Lonchura striata: one gene and its partners. The protein of the gene in region 3 binds, or shares a complex with, the protein of the main gene of each other region. Links are inferred from orthologs where the notes say so. Each region holds a gene or a part of one and is shown on either strand. Other genes may lie near its edges.

Evidence for each region. The genes of interacting proteins can lie anywhere in the genome.
Region 1: the proteins of TGFB3 (region 3) and ITGB8 are in contact, whole or in part, in a cryo-EM structure (PDB 8VS6), measured with the Homo sapiens proteins. The link is inferred for Lonchura striata from reciprocal best matches to the Homo sapiens genes TGFB3 and ITGB8. Residues at the interface, in NP_001316868.1 of Homo sapiens: Gly262, Asp263, Leu264, Arg266, Leu267, Lys268; in NP_002205.1 of Homo sapiens: Ser156, Ala157, Ser158, Asn161, Arg206, Gln210, Cys211, Tyr214, Leu216, Ser247, Gly248, Asn249, Ile250, Asp251, Thr252, Glu254.
Region 2: the proteins of TGFB3 (region 3) and ITGB6 are in contact, whole or in part, in a crystal structure (PDB 4UM9), measured with the Homo sapiens proteins. The link is inferred for Lonchura striata from reciprocal best matches to the Homo sapiens genes TGFB3 and ITGB6. Residues at the interface, in NP_001316868.1 of Homo sapiens: His259, Gly262, Asp263, Leu264, Arg266, Leu267, Lys268; in NP_000879.2 of Homo sapiens: Ser142, Ala143, Ser144, Asp147, Pro196, Cys197, Ser199, Ile200, Tyr202, Cys204, Ala234, Asn235, Ile236, Asp237, Thr238, Glu240, Asp271, Lys355.

Annotation. Positions count from the first base shown.
Region 1 is NC_134603.1:126,141,068-126,148,006, reverse strand, and holds the start of ITGB8 (integrin beta-8), read left to right. Parts: upstream 1-3,918; 5' UTR 3,919-3,923; coding exon 3,924-4,077; intron 4,078-6,939. UniProt on the Homo sapiens protein: Integrin alpha-V:beta-8 (ITGAV:ITGB8) is a receptor for fibronectin. It recognizes the sequence R-G-D in its ligands.
Region 2 is NC_134610.1:16,545,760-16,553,203, reverse strand, and holds the start of ITGB6 (integrin beta-6), read left to right. Parts: upstream 1-4,423; coding exon 4,424-4,484; intron 4,485-5,218; coding exon 5,219-5,298; intron 5,299-7,444. UniProt on the Homo sapiens protein: Integrin alpha-V:beta-6 (ITGAV:ITGB6) is a receptor for fibronectin and cytotactin. It recognizes the sequence R-G-D in its ligands. Internalization of integrin alpha-V/beta-6 via clathrin-mediated endocytosis promotes carcinoma cell invasion.
Region 3 is NC_134608.1:22,830,473-22,837,742, forward strand, and holds the start of TGFB3 (transforming growth factor beta-3 proprotein), read left to right. Parts: upstream 1-4,253; coding exon 4,254-4,968; intron 4,969-7,270. UniProt on the Homo sapiens protein: Transforming growth factor beta-3 proprotein: Precursor of the Latency-associated peptide (LAP) and Transforming growth factor beta-3 (TGF-beta-3) chains, which constitute the regulatory and active subunit of TGF-beta-3, respectively.

The DNA.
Region 1 (6,939 bases), on a different chromosome or scaffold from region 3:
CATTGCAGATGCAATATTTTCCTGAAAAAGCTGTTTCCTGAAAAAAGAGACTATGCACCAACAATGTGACAGACAATTGCATTTTGTTTCAATAAAGCAAATGTAAAATACTGGTAGGAAGCCACAGTTATAACACTTCAAGAAATTTGGGATACATGTAATATAATAACACACTTTCCACCACAAAAATTTGTGGAATAACTTATGCTGGAAAAAGTCCCCTGAGGCCCAACCATCCCTCTGCTCAAAACAGGTTCAGTTAGTTCAGTCTGCTTAGGAACATGTTCAGCTAAGTTTTAACTCTCTCCAAGGACAGAGATGCCACAAACACATTGCTTCAAGGTTTCACTGCCCTGTGGATAGGACAATGGATTGAGACTTTAAATCCATTTCTAGTGGTGTTAAATTACTTGTTATGGGAGTTTAAGAGTTACTTACTCTCATATGTGACCTTGGATGATTCAGTTTCTCTGCAAGCCTAGAATTATTATTCAAAACTCCTGCCTAATTGTATTATCGCATTATAAACACTGTCTAAATAACAATATATTCAAAGATGCTATCACTGCAAAGTAAATGTTTTTAAGTCCTTGGATTCCACCATGGGACGAATGAAGCTAAAGAAATATGGCATTTTACATAAACCAGCAGACTATACTTTAAACTCCTACAGCAGCCTCTATACATTGAGGCCTAAACCATTTATATCTTCAGTTCTGGACTTTTTATTGGTGACTTTATTCAGGGTTCATAGTTCTCACCCAACAATGGCATCCTTTTCATTATGTTTTCAGGGTTTAAGTTAATGACCAGAGTGGTTTCATTTTGGTAACCCTATTATCAGATTTTATATGAAAATTATCCATTTTTATTCTTCCACATTAAACTGCAGGTATTGTCTTTCTGCCCAGAATACCAAATTCTTGCATTATGTTCTCAGCAGAAATAATGCATGGAATGACTGATTCCTACCTGTATGATGAACAGCCTTTGCTTAGAAATTCAGAAGATAATTCATGCTGTTGAGGACATAGCCATTTTCTTTACACTGCTTATGATAATTTATATTCTGTCTAATAGTGTCATACACAATATATCTGTATGGGATATCAACTGTATTGTTCTTCCCATTAGCACCATTTAGACCATGCAGGTGAAAAATCCAAAATAGGGAGATCCCAGTTTCTGTCACTTTTGCTTCTGCTGGCAATTTGTTTAAAGCTATTTCCTTGAATTTCTTGATGTATCATCTGAATTCTTTTTTTCCAGATAGATTTGAATCACCATAAATTTGCAGCATCATGATCTATAAACATTACAAGACCCAACAGGAGTAAATTGAGTTTAGTTCACTCGTCACCAGTCTATCTTATTTCAAATAGTACCCAATGAGTTCTCAAGGGACCTGTAGCTATCCACCTACAGTGTTTGAGATTGTGATCTCTGAAATCATAGAGCTTTTAGGTTAAGAATGCCACAATATTTGAAATCCTGCAGATACTACACTTCTTTCTGAATGTCATTGCATACGGCTTTCTCACATCCCATATCCCCATTTGGGCTATGACCACTCAAGGAATGACAGTCAGATGTCTGAAATGGGGGATTTTTCCAAAATGAAGCAAAAAAGATGATACATCATTTAAAAACTCCAGAGTGGGACCACGAGATTGCTTCATTGCCAGCCCTTCCTCAGCACTCTTGAACAAACTCACCGTGCTCAGCTTCTGACCTCTGACATTCAGATGCTAAATCATCCATAACTTCTCAAGGCTTAGCAAGGGATCTGAAAAGGCTTCCGCAGCCCTTCATTCGTAGACAGTGAAACAGTACATTATTTACACTGGTTGCATTTGCAGGATTTATAAACGTACCCTGCACAGACAGGCTTGGATGCAGCACAGAGATCCGCCTAGGATCCTGCGCGCAGTCATCTGTTGTCGGTATCAGAAAGGAAGGATGCCACACGGCTGGCCACCAGGGACCCGAGGTCGGCACACCTACCCCGTAACGCAGCCGGGCGGAGGCCCGGCCACCGTCGTGTGACAGGGCGAGGTGCCCAGGTGGGTTTTACCTGCCGGGAAAACGCCTCCACCCACAGGCTCCGCGGGGAGCACAGGGACGGGAGCTGCAGGGAGCTCCTCCGTGGAGCGGAGCGGGGCCGGGCGAGGCGGCGGCCGAGGTCGCACCTTGGCCCGGTGGGGCTTTCCTGGCCCGCACGGCGCGGTACTTTCCGGACACGGTTAACCTTTGCGTTACACCCACTGCGCCCGGAGGGGTGGAAACTCCGGGGAGAAACGATTCGGGGAGGGCGGTAAAGGAGGAGAGGTGGTTTTAGGTAGCGAAGATTTGCCGGCCCGCACCAGGGGCCGGCGCGCTCCTGCAAGCGGGACGCCCCGGGAAAGCGGCGGCGTTCCCGGGCCGGTGGGCAGCGCCCGGGTTAGGGAGGCGCTGCCGGCGAGGGTCGCACAAGCGAGCGGCGGCGGGGTCACACGCAGCGAGGGCCGGCCCAGCCGGCGGGGCGGGGCGGAGCGGCCGCCGCAGGGCCAAAGCGGCGGGCGAGGTGCGGCGGGGGCCGGCGGCGCAGCGCTCTGCCCGCGGCCTTCGTCCGCCTCCGCGGCCGGGGGCAGCGGCCGTGCCGAGCTCGGGCGGCCGCGACCGAAGCCGCCGGCGAACAAAGGCGCGGGCGGCCACAGTGACTTCACCGCCGGGCCCGCCCCCGCACTCCCGCTCGCGGAACCTGCCCCGCTGCCGTCTCCTGGCAACCTGCGGGGACCCGCACTCTCCGCGCTGGGGCCGGGCAGCGCCGCCGGCCGCGGTCTCCTGCCGTCCCCTCGCCGTCCTCAGCAGACCCCGTACCCCCGGCGCCGAGAGGCGGCCCCGGCGGCGCCTCGGGACGGCGGCGGGCAGCGCCCACCTGCCCCCGGCGGGGGCGGGCAGGGGGCGGCCGTCCCCGCCCCCCGGCAGCCGCCCTCTTCGCCCGAGGGAGGTGCGGAGCTGCCGCCGCCGCCGCCGCTCCCCGCGCGGTGCCAGGAGCCTCCCCGCACCCCCCAGGCAGGGCGGGCGGCGACGCGCCCCTGGCCGCCGGGCTGGAAGCGAATGGAGGGAACCAAGCTCCGCGCTTAGCCGGGGCCCCTCTGCCGCCGGGGGGGGGCCGGTCCTGGCGGGGCGCGGAGGCGCGGCAGGCGCTGCCCCCGAGATGCGGCGGCCCCCGCCCGCCCCTCCGAGCGCCCTACCTGTGCCGGGCCCGCCGCCGCCCCTCCCCCGGCCCCGCCGCCGCCGCCGCCCCCGCGGGGGCCGGGACTGAGCGCGCCGCGGCGCCGAGACACGGCCCCGAGAAGAGGGCGAGGGAGCGGGAGCGGTGCCGGCCGCGGCGCATGATGTGGGTGCCGCTGCTGGCGTGCCTCACCGCGGGGATCGTCTCCGTGCCCAGGTGCCAGCGCGGCCCCGGAGCCTTCCTCGGGGCGGCCTGGCTGCTGGCGGCCGTGCCGGGACTCTGCCAGCGCTGTAAGTGTCCGAGCGCCTGGGACTGCTGCCCCGGCTGGCGGGGGCTGTGGCCGGGTTTGGTTCTGGCGCGGGGTCGTGCGAGGGCGGGGGGCTTGCCCGGGCCCGGCCGCTGCCCTGGGGCGCAGCGCTGACAGCGGGACCGGCCGGCGCCACCGGCACTCGTCGGCCGGGCGGGCCGAGCTGGCGGGCGCACGGTACCTGCAGGGAGAGCCGGGCTGGAGCGGTGTCCAAGCCTCACACCGCCAGGGCCAGCCCGTGATTTCACTGCCCACGCCGGGGGCGTCCCGCCTTTAGGGAGCCATGGGGAGCCGGCGGGACTGTCGCACTCCAGGGTGCTGCGGGTCCTGAAGTGCACCCTCCGCAACACTCCGTGGAGCGGCACGCGGACCCCAGCCAGGGATGACCGGTTCTTGGGGATGGTAACACTCTGTTTTACGTCGTTCATGTGGCACGCAGTGGCAGGGTTAAATAGGGATAGAGCTACGAGAAGATTGTCTTCTGTTTACCTCGGGATAACGTGCATGTTGGCAGTTCCCTGGGAGCTATGGTTCTCGGGTGAAAAAGACTCAGGTAAATGTGGGTAACTCCTCACGTTGTGGAATTGCTTCCCAAGGCCCCCAGTATCATTTTTAATGTGTGCTGGCTGAGGGGAGCTTGTGCAAATGTACCTTAGATGGTGCAGCAGTTGACAGAGCAAGCAGGTTAGTCAATTCATAAAGGATCTTATTTAGCTAGCAGTGATCATAAAAGCAGATCTGGTTGTCAGTCATCTTTCTGTATTTTCTTATGCTTGTGGAATAATTGGCATTTCCCAGTTTAAGCCTGGAGCTGATTTAAAATGTTAACATGTAACCTCTGAAACTGAGATTTACAATGGGAACAATGTATTAGTCTTAGATTCTTTATTGCAAAGGAGACAAATTCATGCCTAATTCAGTAGGATTTGCCCAGCACTATTAAAAACAATGGAATAATTTGTTAACTTTCATAGGATAATTTATTTTACTTTTTTGGCTTCGTACTTTGAATTCAGAACCAAAGTAATGTCAATAGGAAAAATAAAATATATTATTAAATTTCTTATGAACCATGACATCTTGTATGTGGTATCCCAGATTTTTTTTATACAGTGCAATTGAGTTGAAATGCTAATTGAAACTTTATGAAAAGGATGGTTCTGTGCCTGAATGTAGTGTTGTGCTTGCTTATGAGTGTAGTTCCTGGGTACACACTACTGCAAGTAATGCAACAGAACAGAATGCCACAGGGGGGAGGTTGTGCATGGAGCTTTTGTGCCAAAGGATGCTTGCTGTCTTTGTTGTGCTTCATAGTGAAAATATATATGGGCAATACGTCATGGGTTATGTGTTTATTGTGACAACAGCTCTCAGATTGGGCAGACTGTAACTCACATAGACCTTGTTTTTTCCTTTTCATTTGAAACCTCTGCTAATTCATGAAAGCTGAAAAGAACACTGAATTCTTTCCTTCATACATAATCACTTTGCAGGCTACAGCCGCAGTTGAATCAAGAAGAATGTTTTGCTTTGTTTTTCTGTGAATGAACACATGAAATTTTTTGTTATTATTAATATTGTTAGTGATTTTTACATTTAGTTGTGATAGCCAGTGCAACACCACCTGGATTCTTTGAATGTCTGCAGGCTGCTTTGAGAGACAGTGGGCAGCAGCTCCATGTACAGATATTTGGCAGCATGGTTTTGTTCACACAGCCATTCCTCTTTGCTTCTGCATTGACAGTGCTGGGCATGGAGAAAAGCATCTTGCTGTTCCTGTGCCATCATCAAGTCCAATTTATTTATGTGCAGAGTTGGCAGAACCTGCATATCTGTTGAACTGAATCTCCAGTTCTGAAAGAGACTGGAATTAATATGAACTGTACATAGAATTCAAATTTATTTAATTCTTGTTGGAGCATTTATGGCTCTTCTAATTGAAACATTAAGAGCTTGATACTACCTGAGATATTTGTTCTTCAAGCTGCAGTTTGAGATGTGAGTCATTGCTTGGGGATAAGTAAAGGTAGAATTTGGCATAGGGTTTGAAGTTACAAGGAGCGCAAAAGGAAATCTCACAATGATGTAAATTTGTAATTCCCAAATTATGGGTTCTGTAAGCTCAAATAAAAAGAGTAGTGTTGCTGCCTTCTACAAAGGGTCCCTTGTTCAATAAGTCTCACCAAAAGGAAATTTGCAGTTCAGTAAGCCAATTATAACAAATACCTGACATAAGATTCAAGCTAGTTCTGTAGGGATTTCTACAGATCCCTGCATTTATGTTTGAACATTAAAGCTGACAAACTCCTAAAGATGTAAACCAGTGAACTGAATAAAAGCTGGATTCTACAGCAAGAGCATGTGTATGCATTGCACTAACCAATTGAGTAAGTGCTCACTTCAGTGAAGACAATTCTCTTGCCCTGTTCAGAAACCAACTGCTGAAACTCTTATTTTTTACCTGCTGTATCAGCACATGGGTTATATGGGGCTTAAGTACTGAAGAATGACTGATTGGTCAGGCTTAACATAGGACATTGATTAAGATCTCTGCAGTGTCCCAAGACCAGTTATAATATTAAAATCAGAAAACTAAGGTATTTGGTGCTTTCCAAAATACCCAGGGAGTAATTCCTCTATGAAGCTCAGGTAAACAGAATGTACTTGAGGTGTGCAAACAGGGATGAGATGGAATGAAAATCTTTATCTCTGAACAAAAGTTGGAGAACAGTCACACAGCAATTCTTTTAAATAGTTGTGATTGACAGGTCTCTTTAAATACCAGCTTTAAAAGTATTTTCAGTCTTCTTGAGAGTGTCATTTGGAAAGACCACTGGAGAATCATCATGAAGGGGTCAGTTGTTAATTGATTTGTGCCAATAGCATGACTTTTGATTCATTAATTTTCTCCCATCAAGGTCTTTGGTGCTTCACCAGTCTTGTCACATCAGATTTCCATGTGATCCCTCTAGTAAGAAAGTTTTATAAACCATTACTCATGCTACTTCTCAAAGGAATAAGGAAAGCTATTCAAACCACCCATGGAAGATTTTGAAGAGAAGTGATGGGAAATATGCCATGATACACACACAAACACACAAAAAAGTCTGAAATAAAAGATACATCATGATAGCTTTAATTGGTGTTTATCTGTTAATTCTCTTGCGCACCCATGCAGTGCATTTTCTATTGAGACTCAGTGGAAGAAGCTGAGCTGTATGGGATACCCAGCACTGAGTCAATTGAGCTTTTCCTGAGGCTTAAAACAATCCAAGGAAAAGAGAAAATCCAGTTTTCATTTCCTGAGTCTGCGTGGGCGATCTGCACCCTCGGGCTAATGGACCATCTTTGGGAAAGCCAACCTTTTTGGAACCTTTGGGGTAAAACAACCTGGGTGTTTGAGAGGGCTGTAAAT
Region 2 (7,444 bases), on a different chromosome or scaffold from region 3:
TGATTCTCCATCTCCTGTGACCCTCCAGAAGAGGCTAAAAACACCCCCACTCTTCTTCCAAAACTGCACTCCATCGTGTGTAGCCATGCTGGCAAACAGCACCTGGAGGTTAGGAGAGACCAAATCTCCCTGGGCTCTGTGGCAGTGTTTTGGTCATAGGCCCCTAATGGAATATGGTATTAGCACACCCCAAAACACAGGAGCTGGAATGAACCAGCTCCATCACAGTATGTTCAGAACTTTCCTTTCAGCAAGCTCCAGGTCACCCATAGAGGACTCAAAAGCTTACAGCAGTTTCTTTGAATGTATGTAATTTTCTGTTGGAGCAATACCCATGTCCCACCATGATGATTAATAAAGAAAGAGAGAGCAGATGTATCAACTGAAAAAAAAAAAAAAAAAGGCAGCAAAATAATTAAAGAAGCAAAAGTTTCAGATTTTGCTGATTTGTTACTTTCACCTTCACTGTGAATTTCCCCATTAAATACAACTGTTTGTTAGGGATTGTTGCTTCCTCTTGAAATGTTTTTGCCAGCTCTCCCTAAAGCATTGTCAGATCTGTACTGCAGCAGAGACAGAGACAAGACAGTCCTTGCAGTGTCTGTGCAGTATTTGTGTGTGGTTTCTGTCTGTGCTGGACTGACCTGTGTGCAGAACTCTCACACCACTGTGTGGATATTCACATCATCTCTAGCTCCCTAAAGATGAACCAAAATTTCAAGCTTAGAGACTTTTTTCAGCCTTCATTGTTCAGCTAACTCACAGGCATCCTCTGAAACATTTGCCATTGCTGTACTTTGGAACTGGGTCTTATCAGACTGCTGGGGCATATATTTCTGTGCAGATTTTCCAAGGAAAAATGCTTTCCACTTCTGCTGGCCCAAGAGTATGGAAGCACTTGACTATGCAGCTATGGAACATTTGTCTTCTTTGTGAGAGAAGTGTTTTAATCCGTAGACTTTTGTAGAATCTTCACTTACTTCCTTTCAGGTTAAAAAGTTTGACTGAAGTATTAAAGTCTACTTTCATTCCCTGCTAGAGATCGTCAGGAGCTTTGAGGATTTGACTGGGAAGTCAACCAGACAGAGAATAAAGTCACCAGATGATTCAAGTACAAAGCAACATGCCTCTGGCCTAAGGAGTGCAGCCCTTTGCCTCTTCCAGATGCAGTGAGGAGTAGGAATAGGGTGGAGAGAAGGGAGACTCTGCCTCACAAACTTGAGAAAGCTTTTCTCAAGCACAAGAAGTGTCTCCCTGCACCTTTGTAAATATTGAGAATCATCTCAGCTGGGGGACACTCAGACTTTAAATGGTTCCATATTTTTCCAGGCTTTCAGGATGTGTATAACTAGATTGCTGGGAATCAAGAGCTGGCTTATGTGTGAAGCTGAGAGGTCAGGGCTATATTTGTGCCCGGAATGGAGGGAAGACTTGCATTGTTCAGCACTGCCTACACTGAATGATAAACTGTTTTCTTTTCTGATGTGTCATTTAAAAACTCTAACTCTGATTTAATAGAGACCAGAATTTCCTCCAAAATAATATAGTGGCTGACGGAAACAATCATAATTGTGTTCTTTCTCTACTGTAAACTTCCTTTTTGTTCTATCTCATAGAATCAATGCTTTTAATTTGGGTGGGTGATGCGAGACTGTATTAAAAACCTTATGAAGAATGGGAACCCTGTTGCCAAATCAAGTAATACCATGACCCCAGAGCATTTTATACATCCTTCCCACATCAGCATGGCTACTCCAGATTGAGATTCTACTCTTCTAGTGATGATTAAAGCAAATAAAGCATTTATCTAGTAGAGGAACTTCCTGGTCAACTTACCTTTAGTTTGCACAGGTGGTGTTTCAAAACAAGAATCATATGTCTGCTTCCTGTTTAGGTATTCTTACCTTGCCCAAGGTTTACTCTTGGTGCACACTGTCTCTCTTTCAGGACCTCTCTTAGGCTCCTGCTCTCAATTTTTTTTTCCTTGTCTGTTTCTGTTGTTGTTTATTCTCCTACTTTCTTTTCCTTCGCTGCTTTCTCCAGACAATCCACGGTGATCTAATAGATCTATTAATAATCTAATATATTCCTAATAATTTGCAGAAACTTAGCTATTTTATTCAGCAAAGGCTTAATTCAGATAGTCTGGCAGTCACCTCACTCAGAGGCAGGCACTTAGCTTCCGGCCATGCTATTCTTGCCAAGACCTATGCAAAATATTAACCTCACAAGCAAATGGAGAACTGATAATATCAAATAGAATTTGTAAGTTTTATATAGGATATATTACTAATTCTCTCTACACTTCAAAGTTTGATATCTTCAATCCAAGAATAAGCATTTGCTAATTGCCAGCTGTTCAGCTGACTGGTCCTTAGTTTGAGACCCTGCAGGTGTTGCTATCTTGTGGTGGCTGCAGCGCTGCCACCAAGCCCTGTGCTTTGAAGTGTTGCTGTTCCCAGGGGCCAGTAGCCCATCAGAGCTACAAGGTGACCTACACTGAAAGAGAAAGCACTGGGTTTTGGGGGTCTGCAAGGCTGTGGACATAGTAACAATCTTGAAGGACACATAGAGAAATGTCAGTCAGAGCCAGGGAAGTAGGATATTTGAGTAGCATATTACAGGGGGATGTTTCTCTTAGCAAGAGCAAACACTTTTGGTTTATTCCACTTCTTTTTGACCTTATGTAATTACATAGAGTGTTCTCATAGAGTTGTGTCTTCACCAACTGAGGGAACATAATCTAATCGATGTTTTTTTCATGCCACAGAAAATCACTGTAGCTGAGCAAGTGCCTTACAAAGGGCACTCTGAGGCATAGAGAGCAGTTGAAGGAGATTTAGGAATGTTGTAAATAGAAATGTTAAGATACGGTTTGGCAACAGCCTAAACTGGGCTAAATTTGGCCTAACAAATTCTCACCTTTCCTGTCAGTTCTGCCTTGAACTCTGGACTGGGCAGCCACAGGGTTTAAGGGACAAAACCAGATGAAAACCAGCCCTCCACCTTTCCCACAGAAGGTGATTGGGTTTGGTTGGATCAGTTTGAAACGCGGCGTGTTTGGGCATGAACGATGAGTAATAAAGAGGGTGGGAACACAAGGGCAGAGCAAAGGTAGTCCTGATGTAATCCAGGGTGAGTTGCTATTGAAATTACCCATAGTCTGTGTAAACACTAGTAAAATTGGATGTGCCTGGGAATATTTCCAAGCACTAGAATGAGATTGTCTGTGCTATTAGACTGTTAAAAAGCTCCCTGGCATGAATTTGACCTCTTCCAATCAATGCTCACTGCAAACAATTTCTGGGCACAATTTGGTTGCTAGAATTGGCCCAATAGGTACTTTGCAATCATAAACTCAGGTCTTTCTGTGCCAGTTGGCCCCAGTGCCCAGGAATGTTTTGGGCATGTTGAATTTAACTAATACAGACCCATCCCTACTTTGACTATTGCAAATCTTTATGAAAAGACAGGACTCGTCTTGAAAAAATGTTTTTTAAAACAGGCAATAACAGAGTATAAAAGATGGGAAGACATAAAATCTGGAAATAAGGAATTTTATTTTCTTTTAATAAGGTGGTAAGAAATACATATTTTGCCTTCATTTCAGGTTGGGAAGGTGGATGAGAGATAGCAATAACTTGTTATGCAATTGTTTCTGTGCTGTAGAATATTCAGCTGCTTATTAGGCAGAGTTAAGGCTACATGATTCTTTTTTCAAGTCAGTTGCTGTACTGGGAATAAAATTATTCCTCCTTCTATATATTAAAAGAATCTACAACTCCAGCATTTTCCTTTCCGTTTGGAATGTAAAAAAAAAAAAATCAATGTACTTGGTATCTTGCAGTACTGAAGCAAAGTCCTAAATTTTAATCTGCGATTAGTTTGGGTTTTTTCCCTTCACAGTTGCCTTTATGAGTTTCCCTCCACATCAGGAAATCTGAAAAAGTGGGATTTTTTTCTTCTCTCCAGGTATATACTCGGCAATCTTAATGATCCATTTTCCCTCGGGGCACAATTAAAGGTGTTCTTTTGAAGGAGCTTTAGAAGGGCTGTTGTACAGTGCAAACACGGTCTCTTGGCTGGGTTGCTCTAGGACCCAGAGTGACTGGGACTGACAGGAATCTTCACCTGAATGAATTTTCCCCGTATGCCTTATAAGGAGCCCAGGAAAACAAGGAAGTGATAACCATGTTCACGTTACTGTGTGCACAGCTTGTCCTCTCTACCTGCCCAGGTAGCCCTTGTTTTCACTTTTGTTCATGGTCCGTCCCGCTGGGTTGCAGCTTCCTCGCGATCCGGTGTACGTGACATCCCAAAACATACCCTTCGGGAATGCATGCTTTTTACGACATTCTACCTTCATGCAGACGATAATTAACAAGCTAATATTTTTTTGTCATGCAGCCAGCACTGAAAACGAATGGGGATTGAATTGCTTTGCCTCTGTTTCCTATTCCTGCTAAGAAATAACTATGTGCAAGGTAAGGCTCAGGGGCAGGGAGATCAATTTCAAAATCATTTTGCATTGTTTCTTGCTTGAAGTTGACACGAAATAGCTCTCTGCCTTCTGTATTTAATCTTTCTATTTAATGACCTTTTTTGGATAGACTGCTGTAGGGCTGCATTGCCAATTCATCTACAATTTGGTGGTCATTATATAGCGCAACAGGTTTGAAAGAGATAGACATTTGAGCAATTTCATTTTCACTAATCACAGTTTGATCTGTTAAGAATCTTTCATATTATACATATGGCTGAGTATTTCTCTGGTAGTTACACAATGGAGAAAAATCATATCAAGCATCTACGGAGCTGAGTGAAGCAATATTAAGCATAGAGAGTGAGCATAAATCTGTTCTTTTAATATCCCTGGTTATGTGGGAAATGACTTACCTACACCATACCAGAAATACATGTAACACTCTCTCAGGTGCACTGGAGGGAACAAGGTAACATGTTCTAAGTGAATGCCACCCATAAAGCATGCAAAAGGAGGTATGTTAATTGCCAGCAATTCTAAGGCTTTAATCTTTATTGTAGAGTTAATCTTTTACCAATAGAACTACTGTTAAGAAGAAATTTTATCAGTAATCCTAAATATGGCTATATATGTGTATTTTTCACCACCCACATTCTCTAGATGGCATGTTTCTTCATAAATTGAATGATTCAGCATATTATTAACAGTCTTTTATCTTCTTGGATTTAAATTCAGGGACCTGTTCTCAGGAAAGCACAGTGACTTGTGAAGATTGTTTGCTTTCCGGACCACACTGCGCTTGGTGTTTGCAAGAGGTAGAGTGATAAAAAAAAAAAATTCAAAGTAAGACTTAAGTCTTTGTAGTCACTCCAAGTGATGAAGTATTGACTTAATTGGGTCAGCCCAGGGTTTTGTAATGCATGCAGTGCTTAGTGAAGCCTTCTTGGGGAGCAGAAGTGGAATTTAATCTACTCTCCATGGTCTGTTATTCACAGTATGGTTGTTAGGATGATTGTTTATTTGTTTGTTTTCTTGTTTGAAAAAACCCACGAAAACATCAACCTTTCAAATCTAAGGCAGAAATAGAAATGTTATTAGGGGGTCTCAGGTCGTCAGCTCAAGGGCTGACTCACCCCCAGCACTGATGATGAAGCACCAGACACAAAGTCAGAGGCCAAACTGTATCTGACAGATTACATGCCAAGCCAGACAGTGCAAGCAGAAGGTTTGCAGGTATCAAGAGTATAAAAGTTTGCAGATGTAGAACTTCCATATAGAAATTATAAAACTGTGATTAATTTTAAGTATGACAATAATGTCGGATTTATAATTCATATGATATAGATATGTTTTGGCTAAAGCATTTAACTTAAAAAGTATATCTGGATTTGTTTCTTATGGCTTTGTTTCAGATTTTCAGTGCAACCCTGGGGAAGTGACTTCACATTTCTGCTTTTAAAACTTTCTTCTGTAAATGGTGCTAAATAAAATCTCCCCACTTCACAATAAATATTCTAGCTCTTAGTTCATCATCATTAACAAGATAGTCAGCTATTGCAACAGAAACTTGACAGAAATGCTAGAGAAATAAAGTATTTTTCATTTTTGTTTCTGGATTGCACCTTTGCTGCTAACAGCTTTTATTGTTTTTGTGTATAGCAAAATGACACAGTATGGGACTAAAACACTCTTTATGAAATAGCTCAGAAAGAAAAAACTGCATTTCATTTAAAAATTCTAAAAATATATATTTTGCAATTTGCAAAATATATTAACCATTGAGGTCAAAAAGACCCCACATTAGTGTGTTTGCAGTTGTTTTTATATCTGTACTATAAAACAGGATTTTGTTGAAATTGGATCCCATAATTTTGACTACTGCCATGTATTTTCAGAGAAAAAAGAGCCCAATATAATTTATTGATTCAAAAAAACCCAAAACCAAACCAAAAAAAAACCCTGTGGAACTATTGAAAAGTTCACTGTAGTAAACATGCTTTTTCTTCTTTGTTCATAAGCTCATTCATTTCTTTGTTAGAAAACAGCACATAAAGCATGCAAAAGGCATAGGAGCTTTAGTATCCAAGCATACAAAAGCACCTCTAAGGAAACCACTGTTTTCTGTAGGATAAGAACACACTTTGTAATTGTATTTGAAATATGAGGTTGTCTCTTCACACATTTTGAAAAGTTACAAACTGTGTAACTAAAGGAGACGATATGGATCTCCCTGTGAAAGGTTTATAATGGTACGTGTAATTTATGTGTGCTGTATTCAAGAAGCAGTGGGTGAGTTTTGCCTGAGCAAAGGCATCTGGTTCAGGCTGGAGAATAATAAACCACTGTTCCCAACAGGTGCCTCAACACTTCCACCAAAATATATAAGATGCCTGAAAATTTTCAGGCATGAAGGGTGATATTTTGGTGGGAAAAAAAGGGTCATAGGTCTGTTTTTAGTAGGTTTAAAGTAAATTTGTTTTGTTTTGCATGGAAAGTTTTTCAGCAACTGAATTCAGAGAATATTTGTGGCTTAATGGCTGATCCATGGGTTGCTTGCCCAGACCTAGGAGAAAAGAGCAGATGCATGGTATGGGCCCATGACTATCCACCAGAAATTTAATGTTTCAGATCTGATTCTGCCAGACATTGCCCAGGCTTTGGTCAAAAGGTCTTGCAGGCCAGAGCAGTTTCCAGGAGACAGCTGACTGATCTTGAGAATCTTGACTCTAGACAAAACTCTGGGAAATAAGGCACAGAAATAAGGTAATAAGGCACAGAAACCTCTTTGTAAAAGTAACCATTAACTTCAGCACCATGTGAGGTTAGTACCTACCCTGTAGCAGTGCTGTGGAAAGGAATGCATATCAATGCTTTGAACTGAGTAATGACAATAAACTTTGAGATATACAATTGATATTTATAGGCTTTTGATTTCCTCTGTCTGGTAGAAGGTCAAGGAAG
Region 3 (7,270 bases):
TTCCCACATGCTCCCACACAGCCAGCTGGCAGGGTCATCCTCCCAGAGCCAGGGTAGAGGGGTGCCATCCTGGACAGACAGATCATGAAGCAGCATGACCAGTGCATTCACTTGTTTGGAACTGCCCTCCCCTCCAAGCTTCTCCTCACAATTCCCCTGGGTCTCCATCCCAGACAGTACACCTGTACTTCCCATTTTCCCCCAAGACACACTCTGTGCTGCTTGCTGCCTACCCCAGGGAGAGAAGTCTCAGGCCAGTTGAGGGAGGGTGAAGTCCATGTGCAGGAAAGAAAACATGTAAAGACTTGGGCAACTGAGCTTTGCCTCAGAATTTTGACTCCGGACTTCAGAGATTCTCAAGGAGAGGGAAGAGCAGATGTGCAGAAAGAATGAAACCTAAAATCTGTTCTACCTCTAATCCCTCTGGATTCCACTTATTGGAATAGGGTTTGTCACGTACCCCTCAAAGTTTTGCCTGCTTGGGAAGGGCAACAGGAGGAAAAGAGTTTTCATTCATCATTTCATGTTGTGGCCAAAGTGGATTTTGCCTGCCTTAAGTGTTTGGATTACATTTTCTGAACAGTTTAATTCTCCTCTGTCTTACAGGTGACACCACAGGCAGCATTTGACTCCGGACCTAGACTGTGTTCACTTAACCAACTGAGAAGGAGCCAGGTAGCAGAACAAATGTCTGGTGTGCTGTGGTTGTCCAAAGCTATTTTCAGTGTTTGCTTCCTGTCCAGTTCAGGTCTGTGGTGCCAGGGTTTCTCTTTCCCAGTGTACAGTTTCAGGTGTATTCTCAGCTCTCAGTCTGCCTTACTTGTTTGGTTTTGCCCTCACTGTAAATCACACTGCTGCCACCCCCTCTGAGCTGAACACAAGTAAGAACTCCGCAAGCATTCCTTTCACGGACAAGTTCTCACATCTAAGCGTGGACTCTCTCCATCTGGTTCCAGCACAAACCTGATCACACAGAGTAGGACTGACAGAGTTCCCCACTAGTGCTGTTGATTTCTCCTTGACTGGCAGACATATGAATAGAGCTTGTGTCTGGTACTCCTATCCATGAGAAATTCTGGGAAGGCAATCACACTTGAGCCTCCCATATGCTTCTGATCCTAGACCCCCTTTAAAGCAAGGGCACACACATGTAGTTAAAGCTATAGCTATGGTGGAAAGCCCACGTGGTTGCACAATGACCACCTTATTCAGAGTGCCCAAAGGTTTTCTGAAGCAGGTCTTTGACAGTAGTAGGATTTATGGGATACAGGGCAATTCCAGTACCAACAAGTGACACAGCAGGGTGCTTTCTTCCTCGCCGAATCTTCACATCAGGCAGGCAGCCAGACTCCCAATTTTGATATGGGCCAATTCATTAAAATATTAATCTTCCACTGGGAAGTGAAGCATTCAGCAAAGATTGTTGCTATATCCTGCTCCACGCTGGCAGCTCCAAGCATCTCAGTTTAATTTTTCTGCAGGTTTTTTTTTCCTCCATGCACCTTCCCATCTCTAAGGGGTTTTGGAGGAGGGAAAAAACTGCAAATATTTTTATTTCTGTAGGCTCCAGAACAAAATCCCCTGACAATTGCAAAGTTTCAAACAAGATATCCCTCTCTCTGGAAGGTGGAAGGGGCTTTGACAGGCAGCAAAGGTCCACACATTTGCCTGTCTTGATTGCCATGAGAACAGATGCTATTTGTGTTACGTCAGCCCCAGCTCAGACTGTCAAACCCCAGCCAGAGTTGCCAAGTGTGAAATATTTCCTATGATACATGTTCAGTAGCCCTGTCAGGCTCTCCCTCAGCCTAGCTGGATTCCAGCATGTAAAAGATGTGCAACCTGTTAATGACTGTTGCTCACAGCCTCCAGCATTGCTTCCAGTGCATGTCAGATCACGGGGCTTCCCCACCTCTTTTCAACCCACAGAGCAACACTTGGAACAGAAAGTGAGTGGTCCAATACTGGAACCAGCAGGGACCCCTACATCCTTCTCCACTATTATTTCCAAGCACTAAGTTCACACTGTCAGCTTGTAAAAGAAAAGTCTGATCTCAGCCATTAGCAACATAACCTTGCATTTTTTACTATTGTATTTCATCCCATTTCTCCTGTATTAGCCTTCAAAATTGCCTACCCCCTCCTATAGGATATCCCAGTCCTCCCCTATACCGACAATGCCTCCAGTTTTGGATAAGCAGCCAATTTCATTAGCACATCCATTTTGGCGTGCCAAGATCATTAATAAAACCTGGGCCCAAGACCAGCCTCTGGGAAACTCTCGTAATTTCTTATAATTTCTGTACTTATCTCCATCTTAACTAATAAGTCACTATGCCACTATGCGGCACTGTAGCAAATGGATTACTGGAGTCCAAAGCAATCAGTTTGACTGCATTTAGTGTGACCTCCAACCTGGCAGCAAGGTAAAGGATATCCCAGTATGGAAAAGCATCCAAAATTCATTTCAGAAGTACCTGGGGAGCTCTAGAAACATCCATCCCAACCTACATAATAATATCCCATGGATACTTAATGTCAACAGTCAGAATTTGCATCTAACTTCAAGTTAAAATTTGACTGACATCATCTTGGATGCTACTAGATCTTGTTACATTTTGTCACCCCACCAGAGAATTCTTAATTCCTCTTCCCCAAGCAAAGCACAAGCAAACAGAGAGCAGCTCACCCTTACATCTCCTCAGAGCTGCACAAAATGGCTCACAGTGAATCCAGCACCCCCAGCTGCCCCATGGATTTCCCATCAACCTGTTCCACACTCCCTGTCTTGGGTGAGTCACTGTGCTGTGAGCTCGCAGCGCTCTCCCAGCCGAAGGCCCCCGAACATGCAGGTAAGAGAAGGCTCCCTTCAGCCGTGCCGGGGTTTCCAGATGCTTCCAGCTGCACTGCTGCCTGCTGTTGCTGGACACCACCGCTCCAAGGGGCCACATGCCCCGGAGCCCCACCTCTCCCAGAGCATAAAGATCCAGGACTTGCTTCCACATGCCACTCTGCCCGCAGCATGGCAGGAGCTGTCCCTGCCCCACTTTTCGAACGCACCGCCAGCCCAGCGGGCTGGCTGGCTCCTTCGGCAGCGCTGCCAGGGCTGCGAGCGGCTGCCATGGGTTGGGAAGGCACAAAGCCGCTGGCTCGGGGAGAAGGACTGCGTGCTGGGGACAGGGTCCAGGTGACGCCAAGAGAAAAGCTCTCGCTCGCTCCACGGACCGGGAGCCCTTCTCGGGTCTCCGGGGCAGCAGGCACGGGCCCGGCCCGCGGCACGGAGGCGGGAGGCCGGTGTTGCGAGTGGCCGCAGTGAGAGCACGGCCGGGAGAGACACCCTGCTAGGCCCGGGTTATGAATTACAGCCCCATCCCCGGCCGGTGCTTTGTCTCCCGCCTGTGGCCCCCTCCGAGGGCAGCGGATGCCCGACGCAGCCCCTTCACCGCAGCGAGGGCTGCCGTGACCGGGCACCCCGGAGCTCCGGGTGCCACCTGTCTTCGGTGCCGAGGCGCATCGCCCTGACCCTGCCGCCGCCGTGCATCGGCCCGCGGGTCCCGCCGCAGCCCCCCGCCCGCAGCGCGGCGGCCGAACCCCGCCGCTCGGCCCCTCCCTCCCTCGGAAAGAAACCACATCAGGAAAGTATTCGGGGTATTTTTAGCGGCTTTTAATGCGATTTCGCAGCTGGAAGCGGGAGGGGCCTCCCCGCGCCGCCCGGACCACCGCGAAGGGCCCGCCCGCCGCCGCGCGAGTGCCGCCAGCAGGGGGCGCCCGCGCGCCGCCGGCGGGGCGGTGCGGCGGCCACGTCGGAGGGCGCGCGGGGCCGCCCCGCGCCGAGGGGCCCGGGCTGCGCGGGGCGAGGCGGCCCCGGGCGGGCGCGGGGGGCGGCGGGGGCTGCGGAGGGGGGGAGCGGTGGGGGCTGTGCGGCTGCTGGAGCCATTAGCGCGGGGCTGGCGCAGCCGAAGGCCGGGCTTGGAGCTCCCTCCCCCGCCCGAGCCCCGTCCCGGGGACGTCATGGGAGGGAGGTATAAAATTTCAGCGTCGGGGCCGGGGGAGCGGCAGTGTGCGCGGGCGGGCCGGTGCGGAGCGGTGTCGGTGTACGGACCAGGGCACGGCGGTCAACGGAACCCACGGGCGCAGCGGACGGCCCGGTGGCAGCGCTCCCGGCTGGGCGAGAAGCGCCGCGGTGCCGCGCTCCCGGGCGCCGACGGCCGGGCACCGGGCGATGTAGGGCGCGGGGCCCGGCGGGGGCATGAATGGTGCAGCGAGAGGGGCGGGCGCGGCGCTCCCCCCGCGGCGGCGGGGCGGCGCGGGCCGCTGACACGTGCGGCGGCGCGGCGCGGCGGGGCGCCCCCTGCTCCGCGGGGCGCGGGGCGGCGCATGGGGAAGGAGCGCGGCGCGGCGAGGCACGGCGCTTGCCGCTTCTCCTTGCGGAGCGCTGCCAGCTCTTCCTGGAAGTCCTGAGTCGCGCACGGCGCAGTGAGTTCATGCACCTCCTCGCCAAGCCTCATCCTGCGGGTTCTGAGGAGGCTGCCGCCAGCAAACCGCCCGGTCCCCCGCGCCCTCTCGCCGCCGCTCGGGGGTCTCTCCCGGAGGCCCCCGCCGCCGCCCCCTCACACATGAAGATGTACGTGCAAAGGGCGCTGGTACTGCTCTCCCTGCTGAGCTTCGCTACCGTGAGCCTCTCGCTGTCGTCCTGCACCACCTTGGACCTGGATCACATCAAGAAGAAGAGGGTAGAGGCCATCCGAGGGCAGATCCTGAGCAAGCTGCGGCTCACCAGCCCGCCGGAGACCGTGGGGCCGGCCCATGTGCCCTACCAGATCCTGGCCCTCTATAACAGCACTCGGGAGCTGCTGGAGGAGATGGAGGAGGAGAAGGAAGAGAGCTGCTCTCAGGACAACACCGAGTCCGAATACTATGCCAAAGAGATTCATAAATTTGACATGATCCAGGGCCTCCCTGAGCACAGTAAGTGCGGGGCTCCCACCGTGCCGGTCGAGCTGCCGCGCCCGCGGGGCAGGCTGCCCGGGATCCCGGGCGCGGGGGCGGGACAGCCGGCTGGGGCCGAGGGGCGCCGGGCCCCCGCGGAAGGGGCCGCTTCCCCGGCGGGGCGGAGGCGGGCGGGGGGCGAGTCTCCTCCCGGCTGCGCTCGGGTACGGAGGTGAGCGGGAGCCGCGGGGCGGGGGGCGCTCGGGACGGCGGCGGGACGGCGCGGCGCTTGGCCGGCAGTGGGGACGGTGGGTGGCGGGGTCCGGGAGCGGCATCGACCCAGGCCCCGGCCGGCAGCGGAGAGCCCGTGCCTAGAGCCTTGACATCAGGACAGGGAGGGGAGGAGAAGCCCTGCGGGTGGCGGGCTGAATGCTGCGCACGGGGTGGGAGACGGCGCAGGTCTGGTGTTTGGGTGACAGCAGGTCGACGGCCTCCTCCTTGCTGAAGCTCCAGCGCCTGCCGCAGAAATGCAGGCTACTGTCCGGTCCGTGCAGCACCCGCGCGGCAGGAGAGAAGGTGGAGAGATACTTGCTAAAGTGACTGCTGCTTGGCGGACACTGATGAAGGTGTTACTCAGATAGTGTGAGCGTTCAGAGAGTGAGGAGAAGACAAGGATACTGAGCAGGTGTAAAGCAGTGATGCCAAAGGGACCCCCCAAGGGAACACAGGCATTGAGGAAACATGACAGATGTTGAGCAGGTGTGGAGCAGATGATGAGCAGGCCCAGATGTGGACACTAAACAGATTCAGGTGCAGAAGCTGAGCAGACAAAAAGACAGAGACTGAGCAGACATGAACTCAAAGCAGATTGCAGATGCTGAGCACATGTAGGCACAAGCAGTCATTTTGGCTTGTTTAGGATTCTTAGAATTGGAAGATGTAGTCATACCACTATCCAGGGTGTTCTCCTGTGAAGTTGTGCCATCCTGGGGACAAGGAGTTTTGGGGAGGAGCTGTGACTTGGTGGAGGCAGTCTCAGAATGCAGTTAATTCTGCCAGGTTTATGTTAATCTTGACATATGATGAGATGGAATAAGCTACAATGTGGTAATGTAACAAATTTTACTTAATCTCTAGCAGACTGCATTCCATATGGTTATATGATTAGCTCTTAGCTCAGGAGACACCCAAGATTCAAGGAACAGAAAGTGCAAAGGTTACCTGTATTTCAGCATTTTTGACCTACTGAAATGTCACTTGTGAAACTATAAACATATGGGAAAAACATGTGTCTGCAAAATAGTACAGCCACACTATACACTAGCATTTTTGGGGGGGAAGGAAGTGGGGAAAACGTAAAGCACAACAGTGGCAAATAAAGTTAGGGGTGTGGATTTGGCTAAAATTGAGAGGAAAGTGGAATGAAGAAATAGTGCATGAAAAGGAGTGATGAGTAGAGATTGTGGCTTTGGGAAAATTCCTGAGGAAATTAATGATCCTGTTCCATGTCCCCATAGGACACTGGGACAGTGGGTTCAAAAGACCAAGTAGTGCTGAGACTAAATTTCTGGGAGTGGGTAGTGTAGATGCTACCACCCAGAGAAAGAGGGAACTTTGTAATTTGGTCACTCTAGGGGAGACTAGCTCCAGAGATATTGTGGTGGCAAGAGACACACTCTTTTTTTTTTTTTTTTTTTTTTTGAAACCTGGGGAGTTTCATTGCTTACACCATGGCTGAATTTGGCCCCACATCTTCAGAAGTGGCTGCTGTTCAACTTTCCCATGACTCTGTCACTGTGCCATGTGGTGATCTAAGAGCATGTTCTGAGCCAAAGCCAGTCTCCTGGGGGGGCAGGGGGGGCAGGGGAGGACTACTCCATTGAAGGAACTGCAGTGATGACACAGACAAATCTGAAATGTGTGCACTCACACAAACTGTTCTAGCTCCAGACTATTAGTCAAGTGTCATATTGGCTCAGAGAACCCATACTTTTCAAAGATGCAAAGCCCAAAAGTGAGAAAAGCTGAGGAGCAAAAATAGCAGGCAGGAGAGCCAAGTTCTCCATCCCTTTTCTGAGCTGCTTGGTGACTCATGGAATGGTCTCTTTCCCTGTGCCTCTCAGGTACATTGCCTGAATTAAAAGTTTTTTTTTTCAGAGAATAAATTACTTTTGACCAACCATTCACGTCAGGGATCTCATAAAACTCATGTGGATCAGACCTCACTTGGTTATGTTCAAGCTTGGGAAGCATCTGCAACAGTCCTGCAAAAAAGTCCTTTGCTTACCTTCCTGAAGGAAAAACAGATGCCATTTTCCAAGGCAGCTTGAGAGACAAGGCA